Linked DNA regions of Oryzias latipes. The main gene of each other region encodes a partner of the protein of the gene in region 2 in a complex. Links are inferred from orthologs where the notes say so. Each region holds a gene or a part of one and is shown on either strand. Other genes may lie near its edges.

Region 1 (3,670 bases), on a different chromosome or scaffold from region 2:
ATAGCAAACATCTTTGAGGAGAAAAAAAAAATGTAGGGAGATTATTCTCTTTCTAAAAACAATGCTGCTCCATCTTAATAAAAAACTAAATACCCACAAAAGGTTGCCTCTTCATAACTGTACTCGCCCTCAATGTGTACTGACTCAGTTCCATTATAATGTTCTAAATTTTCAGACAGGGGAAGAAAAACCTTCAACGTATTTGAAAGATAAAACCAGCCTTTACAGAAAAAAGTACACAGAAAAAAACATGTCAACTGCTACAATAAAATAAATTATTAGTTAATTAATACAACAACAGGGAACAAATAACAGGCCCAAATTCTTGTTTTTCTTTTAGTTTTCAATGAATCAAATTGTTCTGGTTATTTTCTCCATCCTTTTTGCACAACAGTGTGCCAAAGCAGATGCTAAACATCTGTAACATGGTATTAAATACAATTACGGTAATCACAATGTAGCTTCAGCGGTGCAGATATGTCAACAAAACTTCAATTCTATACAGATAATGATTAATAAAACATTTATTTTGAAGCATTTTTTTTCTTTGCTACAGAGAAAATGTTAACTATAAATGAAACTATGAATTATTTTGAAGTAAAAGTAATTAATTTAAAAGAAAAGGGCAAAATCAAGACCCTTGAAAGATTTATTTTTAAGTTCAAGAGGTTCCTGATTCACATCGGTTTTAAAACATGGATACAACCATTAGTTTGTTTTTTTAATCTTTAAATTTGAGATTTTGATTTTACTTTAAAGGCTTGAAGCTGAGCGGTTGCAGTTATTGTACGTAGCCTGTAGAGGACAGTAAAGCCACAAAGATAAACTTACATGTGTTGTCTGTTTTAATGGATCATTACTTTAGATTTAAATTGCAGCAAATCCATTCTTATACTATAATTTGTTATGAAGCAAACTTATATTTTTTATGAGTCCACTCTGTAAAATCATAAAGACATTACAATTTTCTTTTAATTCAGACGTGAGATTTGTCATTTCACTTCCAGAAATCCAGGTTCTGCTTTCCAAATAAGAGATCTAACAGAATCTTATCTATGAGACTTAAACATCGGGTTTTCTTCACCGGTCAGCAGCAGATGACTTCGGGCCTGCGGGATACACATTTGCATTACATACACAGTCTTTTCATTACAAAATAAATAAATAAATAATGAGGTAAAAGAATGACTAACCTTCAAGATCTCATTCTTTTTGTATGCAATGTTCCTAATGGCAGATTTTCTTCTGTCCAAATTTTCCTACAGACAAAACTTTTTGTCAGTTATCCTTTTTCTAAAGATATGGCAAAAGTGAGTTTTAAAGCAGAGAACACAGGAGTGTGAAACATTACCTCACTTTTGTTTGCAATTTCACTGAGAACATTGTGGTCCATGTTTGGGTCTGAGAGAACAGTGAAGAGCTGAGTCTGTGACCTTGCCAGACTGTCCGTCAGGTCCTGCAGCTTCCTCCTGAGCTGTGCGCTCCTCAAACCCACTTTTTCACGGGTTCTCTCAATATTTGGAGTCACTGAATTGTACAACTTTGCCTTTTCCAGTTGAAGCTGTGTGAATCAACATGGGATTAAGAAAAAACAAATAGAATATTAATATTTTCTCGACTTCAAAACAATGAATCGTGTGAAGTGGGATTTTTATCTTTCACCCCGTTGAATTTTTGTTCTAGTGCTTCATTTTCTAATTTCAGGTCCTCAACGGTCTTTGTTTCAGGAATTTTGATAGATTGCTGTGAAGAAAAGTAATAAAGTGACACATTACACTTTTTATTTGAGTTTTTATGTACATTAATTTGAATACACTTCAATAAGTCACACTGATATTTAAAAAACAGAAGTATCAACATAACAATAACCTTATTTTTCAAGTGGAAATCTGCTTTCTTCTTAATGTTGGTCTTCTGAACTTTGGGGATATCATAAACTTGAATTTCCTTCTCTTGTAAAATTTTGTTCTAGGAGGTGCAAAGAAAACATGCAGTGATTACTAAAGTATAAAACTATTTCATTTTTGTCCTGAACACATTTGTTTTATATATCTATTTTAAAATAAAACCTACCTGGATTTCATTTATTATCTCTCTATTCTGCTCCATTAAAATATTGACTTCCTGAATGCTGTTGAAGACTTCCCTCATTTCCTCTTGGAAAGCCACAATGTGGGTGTCTCGTTCCAGTTCACAATTCATGACCAAACTTGTTTCAGTATTTTCCAACTCTTCTTGGAACAGCTTAAGACATTCTTCATATTTTGCAGCGGTTTCTGCACAGATAATGTCAAAAATGGGACTTTTGAGTTCATTTCTAAAAAACACAATTGTCTTAAATTCAGCTAAGAGTTTAGTTTCATTTACCTGTGACTTGCTGCTCCCAGTTGCTCCTTGTTTTAGTAACCTCATCCTGTAACTGAAGATAAAAATTAATCACAAATTTGTGTAAAACGCCTCTTAGAGGTATTCTGGGAGTCCCTTGTGTGTAGTATGTAATGCTCATCATTTCCTGACAAAATGTTCGTGTCAAATACCGTATGTGGGTGTTGTTTTGAATGGTGCTGCCAACATGTAAAGTAAAACAGCTTGACAGTTAGAAGAACTCTAAATAGAGTTAATAGGTCTGTTTTATAGGACTAGATGTTACAGTGGTGGACAAAATTGTTGGTACCGCTCAGTTAAAGAAAGAAAGTCCACAATGCTCACTGAAATGACTTGAAACGTTCAAAAGTAATAATAAATTAAAATTTCTTGAAAATTTATTTCATATTTTGTTGCACAACCTTTTGAGGCAATCACTGCAATTAAACGGTTTCTGTATTTGTCAATGAGCCTTCTGAACCTGTCCACAGGTATTTTGGCCCACTCCTCATGAGCAAACTGCTCCAGTTGTCTCAGGTTTGATGGGTGTCTTCTCCAAATGGCATGTTTCAGCTCCTTCCACAGATGTTCAATGGGATCCAGACCTGGGCTCATAGAAGGCCACTTCAGAATCGTCCAACGCTTTTCTCTTAGCCATTCTTGGGTGTTTTTGGCTGTGTGTTTTGGATCGTTGTCCTGTTGGAAGACCCATGACCTGCGGCTGAGACCAGGCTTTCTGACCCTAGGCAGCACATTTCTATCCAGAATGCCTTGATGATCTTGAGATTTCATTTTACCTTGTACAACTTCAAGACACCCTGTGCCAGATGCAGCAAAGCAGCCCAAGAACAGAACTGAGCCTCCTCCATGTTTCACAGTAGGGACAGTGTTCTTTTGGTTGTTTGGTTCATTTTTGAGTCTACGAACATAGAGCTGATGTTTCTTACCAAAAAGCTCCAGTTTTGTCTCATATGTCCAAAGGACATCATTTCAGAAGCTTTGTGGCCTGTCAACATGCATTTTTGCAAATTCCAGTCTGGCTTTTTTATGATTTCCTTTCAACAGTGGTGTCCTCCTTGATCGTCTCCCACGAAGTCCACTCTGGCTCAAACAACGACGAATGGTGTGATCTGACACTGATGTACCTTGATCTAGGAGTTCACCTTTAATGTCTTTGGAGGTTGTTCTGGGCTCTTTGGATACAGTTCCAACTATCCGTCTCCTCAATTTGTCATCAATTTTCCTCTTCGGTCACGTCCAGGGAGGTTGGCTACTGTCCCGTGGGTCTTAAACTTCTGAATAATAT
Region 2 (4,031 bases):
TAGATAAGATATTGCAAAGACTATGGCTAAAATGTCAGCAGAAGCAGAGGTGTAAAGCTGTTGTACTGTGTAGATGTGCATCATTCCTCCAGACTGTGATTTACCAGATTTCAATGATATTTGCATGATCATCATGCATCCAAAAATCCTTTTTTTATTTATGGAATTGAGCCAAACACACATTGTAGTACTGAAAACTGTCTTTGTTTGCACCAAGACTAAATGAAAAATCACATTCATTTTAACTGAGTCCACTTACTTACTACTGGAAATGAAATACCTAATAAAATAGATGCTACAGGATTACATAAATACGCTACGCCGCATATATTTTTCATTTAATGTCCATGAAGAAGGTGTAAAGACAAAAATGAAAAAGACAACACGCCCTGTCTGTCAACACAATCTTTATGATTTTAACGTTGTTTTGTTCGTTTCAAAGCGTTATAATATCATAACACATCAGATGCTATGTGAACGACTTAGCATCACAAGTTATCACTGTCAATTACAGTGATGAGTTGTGATTACAGTGTTTTTTACTGTTACAGTGTAATGCACTAAGTTCGGTTAGTTTGTTGTTAACATGAGCTTAGCTAAGTAGATGACGTTAGAACATGCCAGCTAGCTCCTTTTTTCCCCTCAGAGTCTTAGTGCAAATTCTCGAAATTCATACTGCACTAAAACAAAAACCTTTTCAACTCTGTAACACAATTTAGGGACATACCTATGCATTGGCCCACGGGTGTGCTATAAGGATTTCCAAGTAAGAACTCCATTTCGACAACAACCAAAACGCTTAGGGAGGACAGAAGCTGAGGCCCATAGGAGGCACAGTCAAGACCCGCCCACCGAATCCTATTGGTCAAAACTTACAATACCTGATATGCAATTGGTTGATGTCAATGTCTGTCAAAAGTATCAACAAAAAGACCCTCTGCTTAGATTTGTCTTTTTCCTTATTTCTAATGGTACAGTCTAACAAGTTTATTTATTTATTTATTTATTTATTGTTACGAAATTTGACATGTTTAAAAGTAGAGATGCACTGCAAAAATCATTTTTTATTAAACTTTTTTTCTGTATAAACCATTTCAGATCACATAGACGTCTCCATAAATAGACGGTATTCGGAGCTTTGGTTTTACCTTTCTAAGTTAAGTTCGAAAGATTGTCTAATTGTTCTTTTTTCCCCCGAGTCAATCTTGGGCACGTGAACGCATCAACAGCAACAACCTGTTGCTATGTAACAGCGTAGAAACAGACGCAAGTGTTACTCTCGCATGTTACGTATAGCTTCTATCAAACTATTTGGAGTTGGAAAATCCCATTAATTTTTGTAAGAGGTGAGTTTTTTAGTTTATTATCTGCTTAGTTTGCATCTTGTAGTGCGTCTGTGTTCACTCTGCGTGTTTTAACTCAGTCTTTTTAATTGAAAGTGTTGTTTGTCAGTAAAATCCACGTGTTTACACTTTTCAGATGGAATATTTATCTGTTTCAGACATGTTGTAAATTGAACTTTGATAGCTTTCAACACCAGAAACAGCAACATGGATCCAGTACCCAACAGGATGAACAGGGAGATGATCCAGAATGCAATAGAGAAAAACAGCATCAAATCTGATTTAATGTCCAAAGAGGACAACATTTGTCTCCCTGAAGCTGATGTCATTAAACTGGAATACCAAAGTAATGAGAGTAATAAAGTTAACCCTTAACAAATGCAGAAATAAGTATTTTATTTACATGGGGGTAATTTGTTTTGCAGATATCCAAAGGATTGACTCGTTGCAAGAATATACCTCCTTGGTTCGGCTTGACCTAAACAATAACCTCATTAAGAAGATCCAGGGCCTGGATTCTCTTATTAATTTGACATGGCTAAGTAAAAGGCGTTTTATCCTTGCCAGGAATATCACATGACTTTGAAAGACATATAAAATAACAGCATGAATGACCATCAGACTTGCTGTGTTACAGATCTGTCATTTAACCGGATCGAGAAAATCCAGGGTCTGACATCTCTGCAGAAACTCAAGGTCCTGAATTTGTCAAACAACCAAATCACCGTCATAGAGAACATGGACACACTTGACAACCTCACTCATTTCTTCATTGGATGTAACCTCCTAAACCAGCTGGAAAATGTAAGAACATTTATTTTCGTACAATAAATTTTTATTTTTAGTGCTACAAACATAGTTTAACATTGTGTGTGGCTTTTTAAAGATTTACTTTTAAAACCTTGTAAAACCTTGTGCATTTCCCAGGTTTTGTACCTAAAGAGGTTTAAGAAATTGGTCCACATTTACATGAAGGGAAATCTCTTCTCCAACGAGGACGATTACCAGTTTTTTATTGTTGCTTTTTTTCCAAACTTGACAGTCTTGGACAACAAATTGATTCTCCAGGAGCTGGTAAGTTATGACACAGAAGCATGAAACCTATATTAAAACTGTATTTTTTATGTGATTTTTTCTGTGTAAAATGCTTTGAGGTAAACCATTTATGTCTATGCATGCAGAAAGAAAAGGCATCCAGCAAATACCAAGATGACATCGAGAAAAGGAATCAAGAGGAGAGTCAAAAGCAACTAGCTGAAGAAGTTCTGCAAAAACAAGAAGCTGAACTGAATTTACACAAAGTACAAACACGCTTTTTCAGTTTGTTAATGCTGATTATCAGATGCCGTGATTTTTTCCTGCTGTCTAAAGTGTGCTCTTCTCTTTCATAGGAGGCCTTTGTTGAGTACCTCGATGGGCCACATTTGTTTAAAAGCATGTTTGATGAAGATACGTTCTCATCAGACAGACGTTCTGTTCCAGGAATAGAGGATCTCCTTCAGTCATATCCTTTGTTCCGATTTTCTAACACTCAGATTGATCACAGCTTGTTGAACAGCCTGAGCAGTTCCGTCATTGACCTCCTTAACTCTGTGCTTTACATTTGAAAACCAAATGGTGGGGCTGTGTAAGCAGTTGTTTGACAGAGGTTTGGCAGAGCGTGAACAGAGGGAAAGAGAGCTGAAGTCATTCTCCAGTTCCCAGGATGAGGTAGAGACGCACTACAAAAACCAAGCAATTCAAGTTCTGGAGGATTTTAATAGGCAGCACAAAGAGGCAAGAGAACAGGAACTGCTTTGTAAAATGAAAAAAAAAGTGTTCTTCAGTAAAAAAGAATATGGTACAACTAATCAATATTTTCTTTTGTCATCCTTTAGAGGATTAAAAAGTTGGAGCAATTAACCCTCCGAAACTCAGTTTCCGAGGAACTCAGCCGTGGCTATGATGAAATCAACAAACTCTCTGAAAGGCTGATGACACTGGAGTTTAAGCTTATCAGCAAGCTGGAGGTACTTCTGTTTGTACTTATGCATTTGATTGTTCTCACGTGTGAGTAATTTGTCATTTTTAAGAACATAGACGATCCAAAAGAAAATGCACTCCAAAAGTGTCTCTGTCTGCAACTTTTGAAATGGTTTATACATGCTTTTTACTTTAGTCTATTAATCAATTAATCATATGTCTATCTTTCTGTTTTTGTCAGCTTCCTAATACATTAAGTGAAAAGGATTCCCCTTTCTTTTTTAAGTCTTTCTGCACACGGATGTAATATAATCCTAAAGATTGGCAACCACTCAGTATTTGGCAATATAATCTCAAAATTAATAAAATTGCTTAACATTGAACAACACTGTTTTGTCAATCGAACATAATGTAACAAGCAAGGTAAGGTGTTGGGTTTCATCATTGCCACTTCACCATTTTAGCATAACTTGTATTCTTGTCTTTAAGTTCTTTAACTTAAGTTCAAAAGTCGATGTTCCAAAACTTCTATTTTAATCAGTTTTCGTCAAAAATATCGTTCTGCAAATCTGTTCTCTTCACACTTTGTTTGATTTTGGTTGTAGATTTTATTAATGTATCTCCAAATTATTCATTTTACTTTGATAACTCTATATTTTCAGGAGAACATCAGAAACGTTGAAACCTGCATCTCAGACAAGGTCACAGACTTCATTGAAATTGCTC
Region 3 (3,946 bases), on a different chromosome or scaffold from region 2:
TCCCAGTTGGGATCACGGGAGCCTACCCAGCTTTGACACAGGATAATTGAATCTTCAATTATCCTGTGAAGCATGTTTTTGGACTTTGGGAGGAAGCTGGAGTGCCCAGGGAAACAAAGCAATCACCAGGGGAACATGCAAACTTTACCAGGGCCTTAAGGAAGTTTTACCATTAATTTTCTTTCCTTTACTGTGGCTGCAGGTAAAGCTGAAGAAAGTTATGTGCAGTCATCAGACAAAGACGTGAGACTGTCATTCCCCTTAGTGGACGGAGATCGTGAACTATGGGTCTTGGCGATACAGTGAAACTGGGTGTCCTCTCACCTCAAACGCCTGACGCAAATGCTCTTCAGGAATGGGAGGAAACCTAACAAACAGAATTAAAAATAAAGATTATTTTTCCCGTTTACAAATAGAGCTTTGCACAATTTTCCAAAGTAAACAGGAGGTCCCAGTTAGTCTCAGAATGTAATGGCATGGCAACTATAGTGTAATGAAGATCTTTTTGAGGCAGAGTCATTGACCATGCAATGCTGAATGCTGAGGAGTGATAATGAGGGGATCAGTTGCTCTCAGATAAAGGTGTCAAACTCCAAGTTGCTCATGCAATACAACACCACATACAATGAAAAGTGGGTTCAAATGTTGAATTTATTCAACCCAACAGCACAAGAAGATGTTTCCAAATCTCGTATTGAAGGAGATCACATATTTTTTTGTTTACAGTGTTTTTAGTAAAGTCTGAACCGCCTTGCCATTGGGTCTCTCTAGTACATTATCTGCAGCATGCTAGGTGATAAATGACAGTTTTATTTATCATCATAAAAAAATTGTGTCAGCTGTACAGAAAGGCTAACATGAGTGTGTTTTTCCACTGTTTTTTCTTTTCTGAAGCAGACAAAAAAAGTTGAATGAATTTAAAATGTGACTGGAAAATAATGTAGAAAGCAGAACTTTCTTACTTGTTCTCCATTATTACTTTGGTCATGACTGGTAGGAACTTGTCCAAGTGAACATATCCCATATTGTCCTCCTCCACCTGTGTGAACAGAATTTTGTGACAAAAGTTCTGAAAGATGTTACAAAACAAGAGAGTTAATCAGAGTTAATCAAATGTAATTATAACAAATTTATATGTATTTTTTAAATGTTCTGAATGTGGTGTTTTACATCTGTGAAGATTTTTCAATCATAAATGTTATGGCAGGATGACACAGTTCTTCAGGGTAACTGGACTTTTAAGGTTTATCCGGAAGACATTTCTGCCAGTAGATTCTTCAGTTCTAACTATTGTTAAAGAATTGAATGCTATTTATATGCTGACTATTTTGAAGGTGTGGCAAAATGTGGCTTTAAAATATATTACAACAATCTATATGAGGCAAAATTAAACTGCAGGGGGGGCCCTGGGCACATAAGTGTGTGAGGCCCTTTCAACAGTCATTTAAATGTTTTATCTTTCGTTTTTACATCTTTTTTATATAAAATAAATTACACTACTGAAGTCATTGTACCAACCGTGGCAATACAGCAAATAAGCCTGAAATCAAGGCCTGACTGACTAAAAGAGTGAGAAGTTGCGCAAATAGACGGTCCGTGCTTTTCATCAATGCTTATTTTTATTTATTTTTGTGATTCTCTTGGACTGCTGCTGCGCAATGATCAACATGCGCAAAGCGCGTAAAACAAGGATTCGGCACGCACTAAAGTTTTTAGGTTAAAACAATGCAACAGAGAATAAAGAATTGATACAAAAGCGGCTGAATCAAAAAAAAATTAGCTCTTAAGTTGATTCTGCGGGTCAACATATATTTTCTGTAAAATCAGCGATACGACGTTACAGTCAGACCACGCGACACCTAATCATCCTATATTTGCTGCTCCAATGATGGCCAAACGCTCCTGAATGAGGAGGTACAAGAAGGGGGTGAAGGCTCCAGCTGTCCAGATATGGACAGAAACAGATGGAGAGAAAAAAAAGCGCACGGAGAGATGCGCAAAAAAAAAAAAAAGAAAAGAAATTTCAAAGTAAAAGTTTGTTGTACTTGTAGGAAGGTCTAGAAGAAGCAAATGGCACACTATTTTGCCCGCCTGCGAGGAGGGCGGAACTTACTGACCTCATCCACGAAGCGATGGATGTCTGCTTTGGTGGGGAAACATCCCAGCGAATAGATGATGGTGCTGACCTCACTGCAAAACAACATTTTCGGAGTGGGCGCTGAGTTACTCTTGACTTGTTTGAGTTAATGAAATAAGTTTGGGATCTTTAAAGCTCACCGGACGTCCACGGTGTTGTCAGCTTTGTGGTCAAACACGTGAAAGGCTGCGCGGATTTTCCTCTGGATTTCTGATAACCAAAGCACAAATAGACTGTATTCATCTAATTTATATATTGAAAAAAATAAATGAATTGTAATAACAAAAACTAAACAAATTTTAAACCAGTAAAGAAACTCTGACTGACCTGCTGTTTCACCGGCTTCCGCCATGTCTGCCTGGTGTTGTCGTGTTGCTTAGCAACCGAGTGACACCCTACTTAATATTCTTTTACCAACAAAAAAAATGTACTGTTTCCTTAATAACCTAATTAATTCTGAGACACTTAATGACCTATAATGATATCTGTTTGCATATTGGATAAATAATTTTTCCAACTCATCAAGTCTAAAACTTTATCTGAAAAAGCTTACAGTGGGGCAAAAAAGTATTTAGTCAGTCACCAATGGTGCCAAAGTTTTACTACTTAAAAAGATGAGAAAGGCCTGTACTTGTCATTATACCTCAACTATGAGAGACATAATAAGAAAACAATTCCAGGAAATCACAGCGTCTGACTTTTAAAGAACTTTTTTCTCAAATTATGGTGGAAAATAAGAATTTGGTCACCTACAAACAGGCAAGATTTCTGGCTCTCATAGACCTGGAACTTCTTCTGTAAGAGGATCCTCTGTCTGCCACTCGTCACCTTAATTACTGGCACCTGTTTGATGGTTGTCTGAAAATGTATGCTTGTCTATAGAAAATACACCAGTACACAACCTTAAGCTGTCTAAGGACACCAGAAACAAAAATGTTGACCTGCACCAGGCTGGGAAGACTGAATCCGCTAAAGGTAAGCAGCTTGCTGTGAAGAAATCAACTGTGGGAGCAATTATTAGGAAATGGAAGACATACAAGACCACTGATAATCTACCTCCCTCTGGGGCTCCCTGGAAGATGTTCTCCCCCCGTGGGGTCGGAATGATCACAATGAGCAAAAATACACAACCACACAACCACACAATTAGACCTAGTGAATGACGTGCAGAGAGCTGGGACTAAAGTAACAAAGACTACATCTGTAACACACTACGCCGCCAGGGACTCAAATCCTGCAGTCCCAGACATATCCCCTTGCTAAAGACAGTACATGTTTGCTAGAGAGAATTAAGATGATAAGATTATTCAGAAGAGGACTGGGAGAATGTCCTATGGTCAGATGAAATAAATAAAACTTTTTGGTAAGATCGATACTCGTCGTGTTTGGAGGAGAAAGAATACTGAGTTGCATCCAAAGAACACCGTACCTGCTGTAAAGCATGGGGGTGGAAACCTCATGATTTGGGGCTGTTTCTCAGCAAAGGTACTGCTGATCCGTGTAAAGGAAAATTTTAATGAGGCCATGCATTGTCAGATTTTGAGTGAAAACCTCCTTCCATAAACAAAGGCAATGAAGATGAAACATGGCTGGGTCTTTCAGGATGACAACGACTCCAAACATACTGCCTGGGTAACAAAAGAATGACTTTTTAAGAAGCATTTCAAGGTCCTGGAGTGGCCTTGCCAGTCTCCAGATCTCAACCTCATAGAAATTCTTTGGAGGGAGTTGAAAGTCTGTTTTGCCCAGCGACAGCCCCAAAACATCCCGGCTCTAGAGGAGATCTGCATGGAGGAACATTCCAAAATA
Region 4 (4,005 bases), on a different chromosome or scaffold from region 2:
GTTGTGTTTTTAACTGTGACATCTGGTTGGCCCAAAGCAGCTTGTTGATGAGGAAAGATCTCTGATCATCAACTTGGGTCAGGTGGACGTCACATTCTTTTATAGTGGAGTTCTGTGACAACGCAGCCACCAAAGCCTCACCTCCAACCTGCAGACATGGGGTTAGAATACAAAAATATAAAACATAAGAAGACTAAAATTCACCTTTTGGTCATTTTTTCAGCTTAGTAAGTTTTAAAACTCGTCAACAGAACTTGTTTTTCTTTAAGCTGGAGTGGACCGAGGTCAGAAGTATTGATGGTTTCATTTCTGCTGTGTGAATGATTTTTGATCCACCAGATCACTTCAGTCACAGATACCACGAACTGTGGCAGCAGAGCTGCAGGGGATAGTTGTAAATCTATTTTTATGGGGGGAAAAAAACCCACTTCCTACTCTTTCCATTACTGCCTGTGTTCTGCAGACATCGATAAATAATTGAGAATCCTTGCAGCAACCCTGACTGTGTCAACAAAGGGAGCAGCAGAGTTTTGGGATGAACAAATTGAATCGTTTAGTTCAAAAGGGGTCCAAGTCCACAATTTTTCATAATAGAGATATTATATGTTCTACGGGCTTCAAAGAAAAAGTTATCTGAATTTTGTGCAAAAAAGTCCCAAGTCTGTTGTAATGTATGCTTGACATTTAAAATGCATTAAGTGCAAAATTCCTGGACTTGGGCCTCTCCTGCATGGGTTTTGTTTTATCCCATAGATGGCAGCACTAGTTATCCAATATGGCAGCGCCCCTGTTTAATTCAAGAAGAGCCAAAGTCCAGAGACTTTAGTTTGCTAGTCTTCTGAAATTATAAAAGTGAGGTGCTTCATATTATAGCATTTGAAGCTATGAACTGGTGCTTAATCTGGGTAAAATGTTAATCATTTGGTGTAGCCCCCCTTTAAGATATGCAATTCAAATCATTTCCTGGAAAAACAAACCTCTTGGACTTGGGCCCCTTTTGAACTAACCGATTCATTTATGTTCCAGTTAAAAGAAACAAACGTGGACATGTCCTTACCTCACAGAGCTGGTTGCAGGACAGATTAAGGCTTTGCAGAGTTGTATTCTCTGTGAGCACTTTAGACACAGCCTCAGCAGTGACTGAAGTCAGATAATTTCCTCCCAGGTTCAGATTGTGTAGAGTTGTGTTGTTCAGCAAAGCTTCGGCAATGGCCTGACCCCCTTCATCCTTTATCATATTCAGAAGCAGATTAAGGGACTCAAGAGTGCAGTTCTTAGATAAGGCCAGAGCTATGGCTTTGGCCCCCTGGCAGCTAATAAGGTTGTTGCACAAGTTAAGAGTCTGCAGTTTATTCCTGGTGAGCAGCTTGCTGATGGCCCTGGCTCCAACGTCTCCAATCTTGTTGTGACAAAAGTCGAGTTCTTCCAGGGAAGGGTGGTCCATGAGGTGTTTCACCAGCAGCTGACACTTTCTGTCATCCATGTGGCTTTGGTGGAGCCTGAAAAGCTTAATATTGAGGATAAATGACGACGGAATACAGAGGGAAACTTTTAGAGCCATCAAAATAAAAGCTTTAAAGTTAAGGATAAAAAGGATAATGACCAGATTTAAAGGATTAACACATTAAATCATTCAACTACGCAACAAGTTCATTCCAACAAACCTTTAAGATAGTAAAATTTGTAAAACACAAAGAATAACTGATACCTTCAGTGTCTTACAGGACTGAAGAGCCTTGGCGAGGGTCTCACAGTCTCTGTATGTCATCTCAAACATATTCCATGCAAAGTTCATGCCACATTGTTTGATTCTATAAACCAGGTGGAGCTCTTCCAGGTTTGTCAGCCTCTGAAGCAGGATGTTAAAGTCAAAGTGGTCCATGGGAGGCACATACCTCTTCCAATGAAAGTCATGATCATTCTCCTTGCTCTTCTTCTGAGGCTCCACGACAGGAACCAGGAGCTGTGAGATGTCCAGACGCTTGACGTATTTTTCACAAACTGATACGACATCAAGAACGGTCTGCGGGTCGGTTACATTTGGGATGAAAAGTTCAATGATCTTCTCCAAGTGCTTCTCCAAAAACATTCGTTTCCAGCTGTGGCCGTGAACAGAGACATCACAGAAGGCCAACTTCTGCTGGCAACAGCGCCTCCAGTAGGGCCCCTCAGGGAGCACGCTGGCTGTGACTTGGACAGGAAGGGAAAGGGACAGTCTCTCCTGCAGGAACTCCTTCTGGGCAGCTGTGAGCATCTCAAATATTGGGTTTCCTGTAACAAAGAGGAACTGTGCAGTCAAGTGGCTCCACTTTTTGCAAAAACCGAAGCTGCAGGAAAATTATACATACTTTCAAAGTTGTTCACAATGATTTGCAGGCAGAGAATGGATAAACTGGGCACTGTGGTGATAGACCAGTCTGGATCTTCAGCAATGATCCTCCTCCTCATGTTTATCTTTTATTTTTGTAGCTTTCAAACTGTCTCATACAAATCCTGTTAACAAACAATAAACATTTAAGAAGTAAACATCTTGGAAACTGGAGAAAGTAGCTAGCTAACGCTAAATAAATGGTCTATTGAATACTTCAGTTCAAAGAAGTAATTTGCGTAAATATGTCAAAAAGTATATTGACAAAAACCGCAAAGAATTATCTGAAGTGCATTTCAGTAAGATTAAAAAGATATTTAATCAAAAAGAAGACAAATAAACTCACGTTTACGAACGTAAACAAAGCCCCCCGTGTCCTGTTATGGAAACTTCCAGTCGTTGCCATGGAAATCGAATCATTCGTGTGTAGTTTGAGGCTTCAAGGAAATCTTAGCTTCAGCGTCACTAACTACAAACATAAAAATAATTCCCGTCGCTACTTTAAAATTATCAAGCAATTTACACAAAACATACCTTAAACGAGTCTATTAGCTGAAGATAATGAGAGTAGACTGAGATCATTCGAACTAGACTCACAACATTCGTTGTTATGGGATTTAAAAGTCGAATATGAACACCACAAACTAAAAGAAAAAGAACAACTCCGCCATACTTGAGGGTTCTCAAACCTCTGACGCGAGAACAGTAACTTCAAGTACTGCTGCTACAAGTGCTTTTAGCGTTATTGTTTTTCCTTTAAAATACACCAATTATTTTCTAATTCATTAATGGATTTAATTGATAAATATAGATTCACTTAAATATGTCAATTATACTTTGCACGGAATTGGCTCTTGGTTGATTAAAAATGTTTAAATATAATTCTGAAAGTTTTGAATTATTTTATATAATGTATTTTTGCTCAGAAAGAATAATTGCATAATCATTGTGCATCATTTTGTGTTCTTCAAACTGATGGCATGTTGTTTGGACTAAAACAGGTATGAAATATATAATAATAATAAAATATAAAAATGATCAAATATCAAATGTTGCCATTTAAATAAAAAAACAGCTACAACATTTATTCAGTTTTGAATGTTACACAAAATGATTTTAACTTTGTTTTAATCGTAAGAAGCACTTTAAATAATATAAATTGCATATGTATAGGAAAAAATATGTATTAACACATTATGTTCATATGAATCAAGTCGTGCACAAATTGATTAAATTTCAAATAATTACTGAATTCAGTTTTTATTTATAGATGTAATAAAACTAAAATAAATAAATTATGTACATAAATGAATCCTTAGTCATTTGAAAAGCAAAAACTGGTAATATTGACAATAGGGAGGGCTTGCATTAGGCCAAAATGAGATGATCTCAGAGAAAAGCACAGACTAATAAACTACCAGATGGGCCTTGGAAATGGATCATGTGCCTTTTGGATGAGAAATCACTTGAGTGAATCCATCTGTCATGTAAACAACAACATGAAGCAGGTGCTTAGCTCCATTTCAGGCGGGGAAAAATGCATACATGCTGAGTTTGTTCATAGAAAATACAGCTTTTTTTCTCATAAGAATTATTTATACACATAAACAAAGTTGGCAAAAAATGTTTTTGTTGTA
Region 5 (3,514 bases), on a different chromosome or scaffold from region 2:
GATCTTTTTTTCCAATCATTAAATGTGTTGTTGCATTTGGTTTGATTAACTCTATGAACATGTGTGATGTGTGAACAGATAGAGGACATTGTGGCCTGCAGGGAGCAGGAGCAGAATCAGGTGAAGCTGAGGAAGAGGATTAAAGAAGCTGTCCCGACATGCGAAGACGAGGAGCAGAGGGTAGAGGTAAGATCTTAAGCCCGAGCCCGAGTCAGAACGAATTTCGGGCCGGGTCGGGGACTAAAATGACAATCATTACGTTCGGGTTGGGTCGGGCCGGGCTTCTCTCTCGCTGCCTTTTTTAATAAATATATGTTTATAAAAATGTATACTAAAACGATGTGTGGATACTAAACTAAGGAATACTTGTCATAAATAAATAATCTGGTTAAAACAGAGAAGGCGCTGTAAGGTAATTGCTATATAACTACTACTAAACAGGAAGCGCGGCTGCAGTATTTCTCCGCGTAATGAAGCGAGTGCGCATCAAGATCTCTCTTTCATTCTCTTTGTCTGGCCTCTTATTCTGTGGTCCGGCGTTATTTCGTTGTCCAGATGCATTTATCATGATCATAAAAATATGTAGATTATTTTAACCTTAAGAAATCTTGCGTTTTTTTCTGCCAAAAATACTGTGGGATAAATTAAAATTTCAGGTTTGCTTGGGGCTCGGGCCTGCAAATAAGTTAATTGGTCGGGTTCGGGCTGGGTTGGGCTTTAATGCCTGTGTCGGGTCGGGCTGGATTATTTAGGCCCAATCTTACCTCTAGCAGAGGGTGAAACATTAACACACACACCAATACACACCGAGTATAATGACACAATCATATTATCTGTTTCTTCTCTTGACCTTGAAGGATGAAAACTCGCTGGAAAGCTGGAAGGTTTTGATCAGCAAGAACCTGGACGCAGAGGAGGCCAATAGGCTGTATCACAGCCTCCTGGAGGAGTTCAAAGACAAAATGGTGGCACAAGCCAACCTCCTCCAGGAGCGTTATGAGAAGGTGGATTGTTGGACGCGGTTTCTCACTTTAATGTTTATTTATGATTATTTTGTAAACTCCATAAATCATTAACTCCGTCTTTCTAGGCTCTGGTGATGGGGAAATCAACCAATGGTTCACACAGTTCTTCACTTCTAGCCATCATAAATGGAAACTAATAACTACTGCAGCTTCTGATGTACTTGAACCTTCATATAGTGTAAACTGTTACGTCATATAATTTGTTGTAAAGTTTGGAATATTGATTAACACGAAAGCCCACCTGGGCTGCTGGGATGTGGCAGCGACTTATAAACTTCAATCAAATATCTTCTGCTCTGATTGCAGACCACTTATGTTAGTTTGAAGATCCAGACTTAAGGCTTGCTTATACGTAAACTGTAGATTGGGGCCCAGTACTTACATGGTCACATTTGGGTTATAGGACACACGGGAGTTGCATGCAAAACAGAACCAGTACCGGCGAAACCACCTCACAATGACTGAAAAGCAGCTGGAAGAATACCAATGCTTCTGCTCAGAAAAAACAACACAGATAAAAGCCACTCAGATTCGCCTCAACAGGTACACACCCACACACACACAGGTACACACACACACACGCACACAATGGACGGACTAAAAGTTCCTACAGTCACCTCAACTGCAGTTAGATTAGGATGTTAGTTCAAATTCATTTGATGTGCTACAACATTTACATGCTGATATCTCTGTTGAAATTAAATGATTCTTCTTTATTAATTTATTGTACTTCTTGAACTCTCATATTTCTGAATTTGAGGCTGCAGATATTCTCATTTTTGTATCGTGAAAATGAATGATGAAGTTTGGATTTGGAATACATTCTTTATGTTGAGTTATCATGACTCTGATTCCAACTTCAGTTTTTGCAATACCACATGGCACTAGGGGTGCTAAATAAACTCATCACCCTCTCCTTCCCTCTCACTCATGGTGCAGAAAGAATTAAACAAATCCGTCCAGACAGGTAAAGGGAATGGTATCCCACAATTCCTTGCGCTGCCGATCTAACAGCAGCACCAAAGTTACACCTACTTAATATAACTAATTTGAATGAAAGTAAAATAAATGTCTTAAAACTGTGTTATTTTTAAGCTGACTGAACTCAAAAAATGATTTATCTTAACTGAAGCAAATAATTAAGTTTATCTTTCCAACATCCATACATGGTCTTATCAGCCCCTCATGGTGGAAAAAGTATTATCTGAGCTTCTTCATCCACTAAATCATCTTCAAATGGACACGCCATGCTGCTTCACCTCTCTAAAAAACAAACTAACCTTAAACTAAACCTGCTCCAGACCAGGTTATGTTCAGAGCATGAGTTGCTAGGGGAACTTGACATACCCTGAAACATACCTCCATTTCTGGAACCGAAAGCGGTGGTTGTACACTTCTTTAGCCTCAAACTTACCGTGGGAGCTAGCATAACCTGCTTTTTGGAATACCCCCCTGGTCTGCACATAACGCTCGGAAAGGAAGGCAGAGTGGCACAAACAATACTTTGCGCTGAGCTTCACTCAGTGCAGAGCTTAAGTATGCTGTGGTTGATGAATGAGAGTCAGGTGTGAGGCATCCAGGAAGTGTGCGCTGGGGGGTTGTAGTGTCAATAGAACTCCGGGATCAGCTCCCGCTGGTGACCAGAGGGGAAGAACAAACTCATCCTTCTGACAGCCTGTGAGTGAAGTAGTCGCAGGCGGGCTACTTTTTCATGACGGACAAAAGTTACATGTAGTGCCTTGTAGCAAATAATCCATCTATCTATCCATCTGAGTTTTTGTGCCACGAGAAAAAGAAATTCTGGAGGATAAATTTTTTTGTTTCTTACTTACAGGAAAAAAAAGTCAAAATGTCGAAAATAAAGTCTAAATAAAGTTTTGAGAAAAAAGTTGAAATGTTGAGATTAAAGTCGAAACGAGGAAAACACACCCAAGTTGTCTGTTTATCGGAGCCTTGCTTGAAGATGAAAGATGAGAGGGACTCAAAATCAGATAATTGTCTGTGCAGCCGTCTTTCCGGGGTTCGGTGTTGGTAAAGTAAAGTAAAGTGTCATCAGTAAAATAAGGAGCTCAGAGACACGTTTAGGGGAAGAGGACCGCTATTTTATTTTCCTTTTCATTCACATACCCAGAAGTCCATTTGTCATGAACCTGTCATGCGCAGATCAGCATGTGTAAAAACTGTTATATACGTCCCTTCCCCCACATGAAACGTCCCGTTTCAACATAAAACAACAAAGATGAATGAAAATAGTCTGTTACATTAGCAGAACGTTGAAATTGCCAAAAACTGCTCCTCCTCAGACGGAAGCGTCACACAGACTTAGAGGTCTTGTCTTTGGAGGAAGAATGGATAGAAGTAGACAGCTGCAGGGACACCGATGTCTTCATCAACGGCTGCAGAGATCCTGCAAACCACCCATCAATAAAGAAAACATTAATAAAACCGTTAACCAAACAATAGTAAACATTCAGCTTACCTGTTCAATT

What was found.
Region 1: drc3 (region 2) and growth arrest-specific protein 8 share a complex: the UniProt entries of both Homo sapiens proteins name them as parts of the nexin-dynein regulatory complex. The link is inferred for Oryzias latipes from reciprocal best matches to the Homo sapiens genes DRC3 and DRC4.
Region 3: drc3 (region 2) and efcab2 share a complex: the UniProt entries of both Homo sapiens proteins name them as parts of the nexin-dynein regulatory complex. The link is inferred for Oryzias latipes from reciprocal best matches to the Homo sapiens genes DRC3 and DRC8.
Region 4: drc3 (region 2) and tcte1 share a complex: the UniProt entries of both Homo sapiens proteins name them as parts of the nexin-dynein regulatory complex. The link is inferred for Oryzias latipes from reciprocal best matches to the Homo sapiens genes DRC3 and DRC5.
Region 5: drc3 (region 2) and drc7 share a complex: the UniProt entries of both Homo sapiens proteins name them as parts of the nexin-dynein regulatory complex. The link is inferred for Oryzias latipes from reciprocal best matches to the Homo sapiens genes DRC3 and DRC7.

Annotation. Positions count from the first base shown.
Region 1 is NC_019861.2:21,837,617-21,841,286, reverse strand, and holds the end of growth arrest-specific protein 8, read right to left. Parts: intron 2,420-3,670; coding exon 2,368-2,419; intron 2,277-2,367; coding exon 2,074-2,276; intron 1,969-2,073; coding exon 1,870-1,968; intron 1,744-1,869; coding exon 1,663-1,743; intron 1,562-1,662; coding exon 1,352-1,561; intron 1,260-1,351; coding exon 1,194-1,259; intron 1,110-1,193; coding exon 1,050-1,109; 3' UTR 507-1,049; downstream 1-506. UniProt on the Homo sapiens protein: Component of the nexin-dynein regulatory complex (N-DRC), a key regulator of ciliary/flagellar motility which maintains the alignment and integrity of the distal axoneme and regulates microtubule sliding in motile axonemes.
Region 2 is NC_019866.2:12,376,655-12,380,685, reverse strand, and holds the start of drc3 (dynein regulatory complex subunit 3), read left to right. Parts: upstream 1-1,227; 5' UTR 1,228-1,346; intron 1,347-1,479; exon of another isoform or gene 1,480-1,501; 5' UTR 1,502-1,550; coding exon 1,551-1,689; intron 1,690-1,768; coding exon 1,769-1,885; intron 1,886-1,980; coding exon 1,981-2,147; intron 2,148-2,270; coding exon 2,271-2,417; intron 2,418-2,524; coding exon 2,525-2,644; intron 2,645-2,734; coding exon 2,735-2,847; intron 2,848-2,944; coding exon 2,945-3,119; intron 3,120-3,220; coding exon 3,221-3,352; intron 3,353-3,967; coding exon 3,968-4,031. Other genes in the region: tom1l2 (TOM1-like protein 2), read right to left, coding at 728-779. UniProt on the Homo sapiens protein: Component of the nexin-dynein regulatory complex (N-DRC) a key regulator of ciliary/flagellar motility which maintains the alignment and integrity of the distal axoneme and regulates microtubule sliding in motile axonemes.
Region 3 is NC_019861.2:24,641,687-24,645,632, reverse strand, and holds the start of efcab2 (EF-hand calcium-binding domain-containing protein 2), read right to left. Parts: upstream 2,802-3,946; 5' UTR 2,490-2,801; coding exon 2,465-2,489; intron 2,348-2,464; coding exon 2,278-2,347; intron 2,191-2,277; coding exon 2,118-2,190; intron 1,040-2,117; coding exon 963-1,039; intron 368-962; coding exon 325-367; intron 1-324. UniProt on the Homo sapiens protein: Component of the nexin-dynein regulatory complex (N-DRC), a key regulator of ciliary/flagellar motility which maintains the alignment and integrity of the distal axoneme and regulates microtubule sliding in motile axonemes.
Region 4 is NC_019882.2:5,921,383-5,925,387, forward strand, and holds the start of tcte1 (T-complex-associated testis-expressed protein 1), read right to left. Parts: upstream 2,803-4,005; 5' UTR 2,715-2,802; intron 2,565-2,714; exon of another isoform or gene 2,494-2,564; 5' UTR 2,449-2,493; coding exon 2,349-2,448; intron 2,272-2,348; coding exon 1,709-2,271; intron 1,508-1,708; coding exon 1,058-1,507; intron 149-1,057; coding exon 1-148. UniProt on the Homo sapiens protein: Component of the nexin-dynein regulatory complex (N-DRC) a key regulator of ciliary/flagellar motility which maintains the alignment and integrity of the distal axoneme and regulates microtubule sliding in motile axonemes.
Region 5 is NC_019865.2:28,540,716-28,544,229, forward strand, and holds part of drc7 (dynein regulatory complex subunit 7), read left to right. Parts: intron 1-78; coding exon 79-186; intron 187-857; coding exon 858-1,004; intron 1,005-1,428; coding exon 1,429-1,568; intron 1,569-3,514. UniProt on the Homo sapiens protein: Component of the nexin-dynein regulatory complex (N-DRC) a key regulator of ciliary/flagellar motility which maintains the alignment and integrity of the distal axoneme and regulates microtubule sliding in motile axonemes.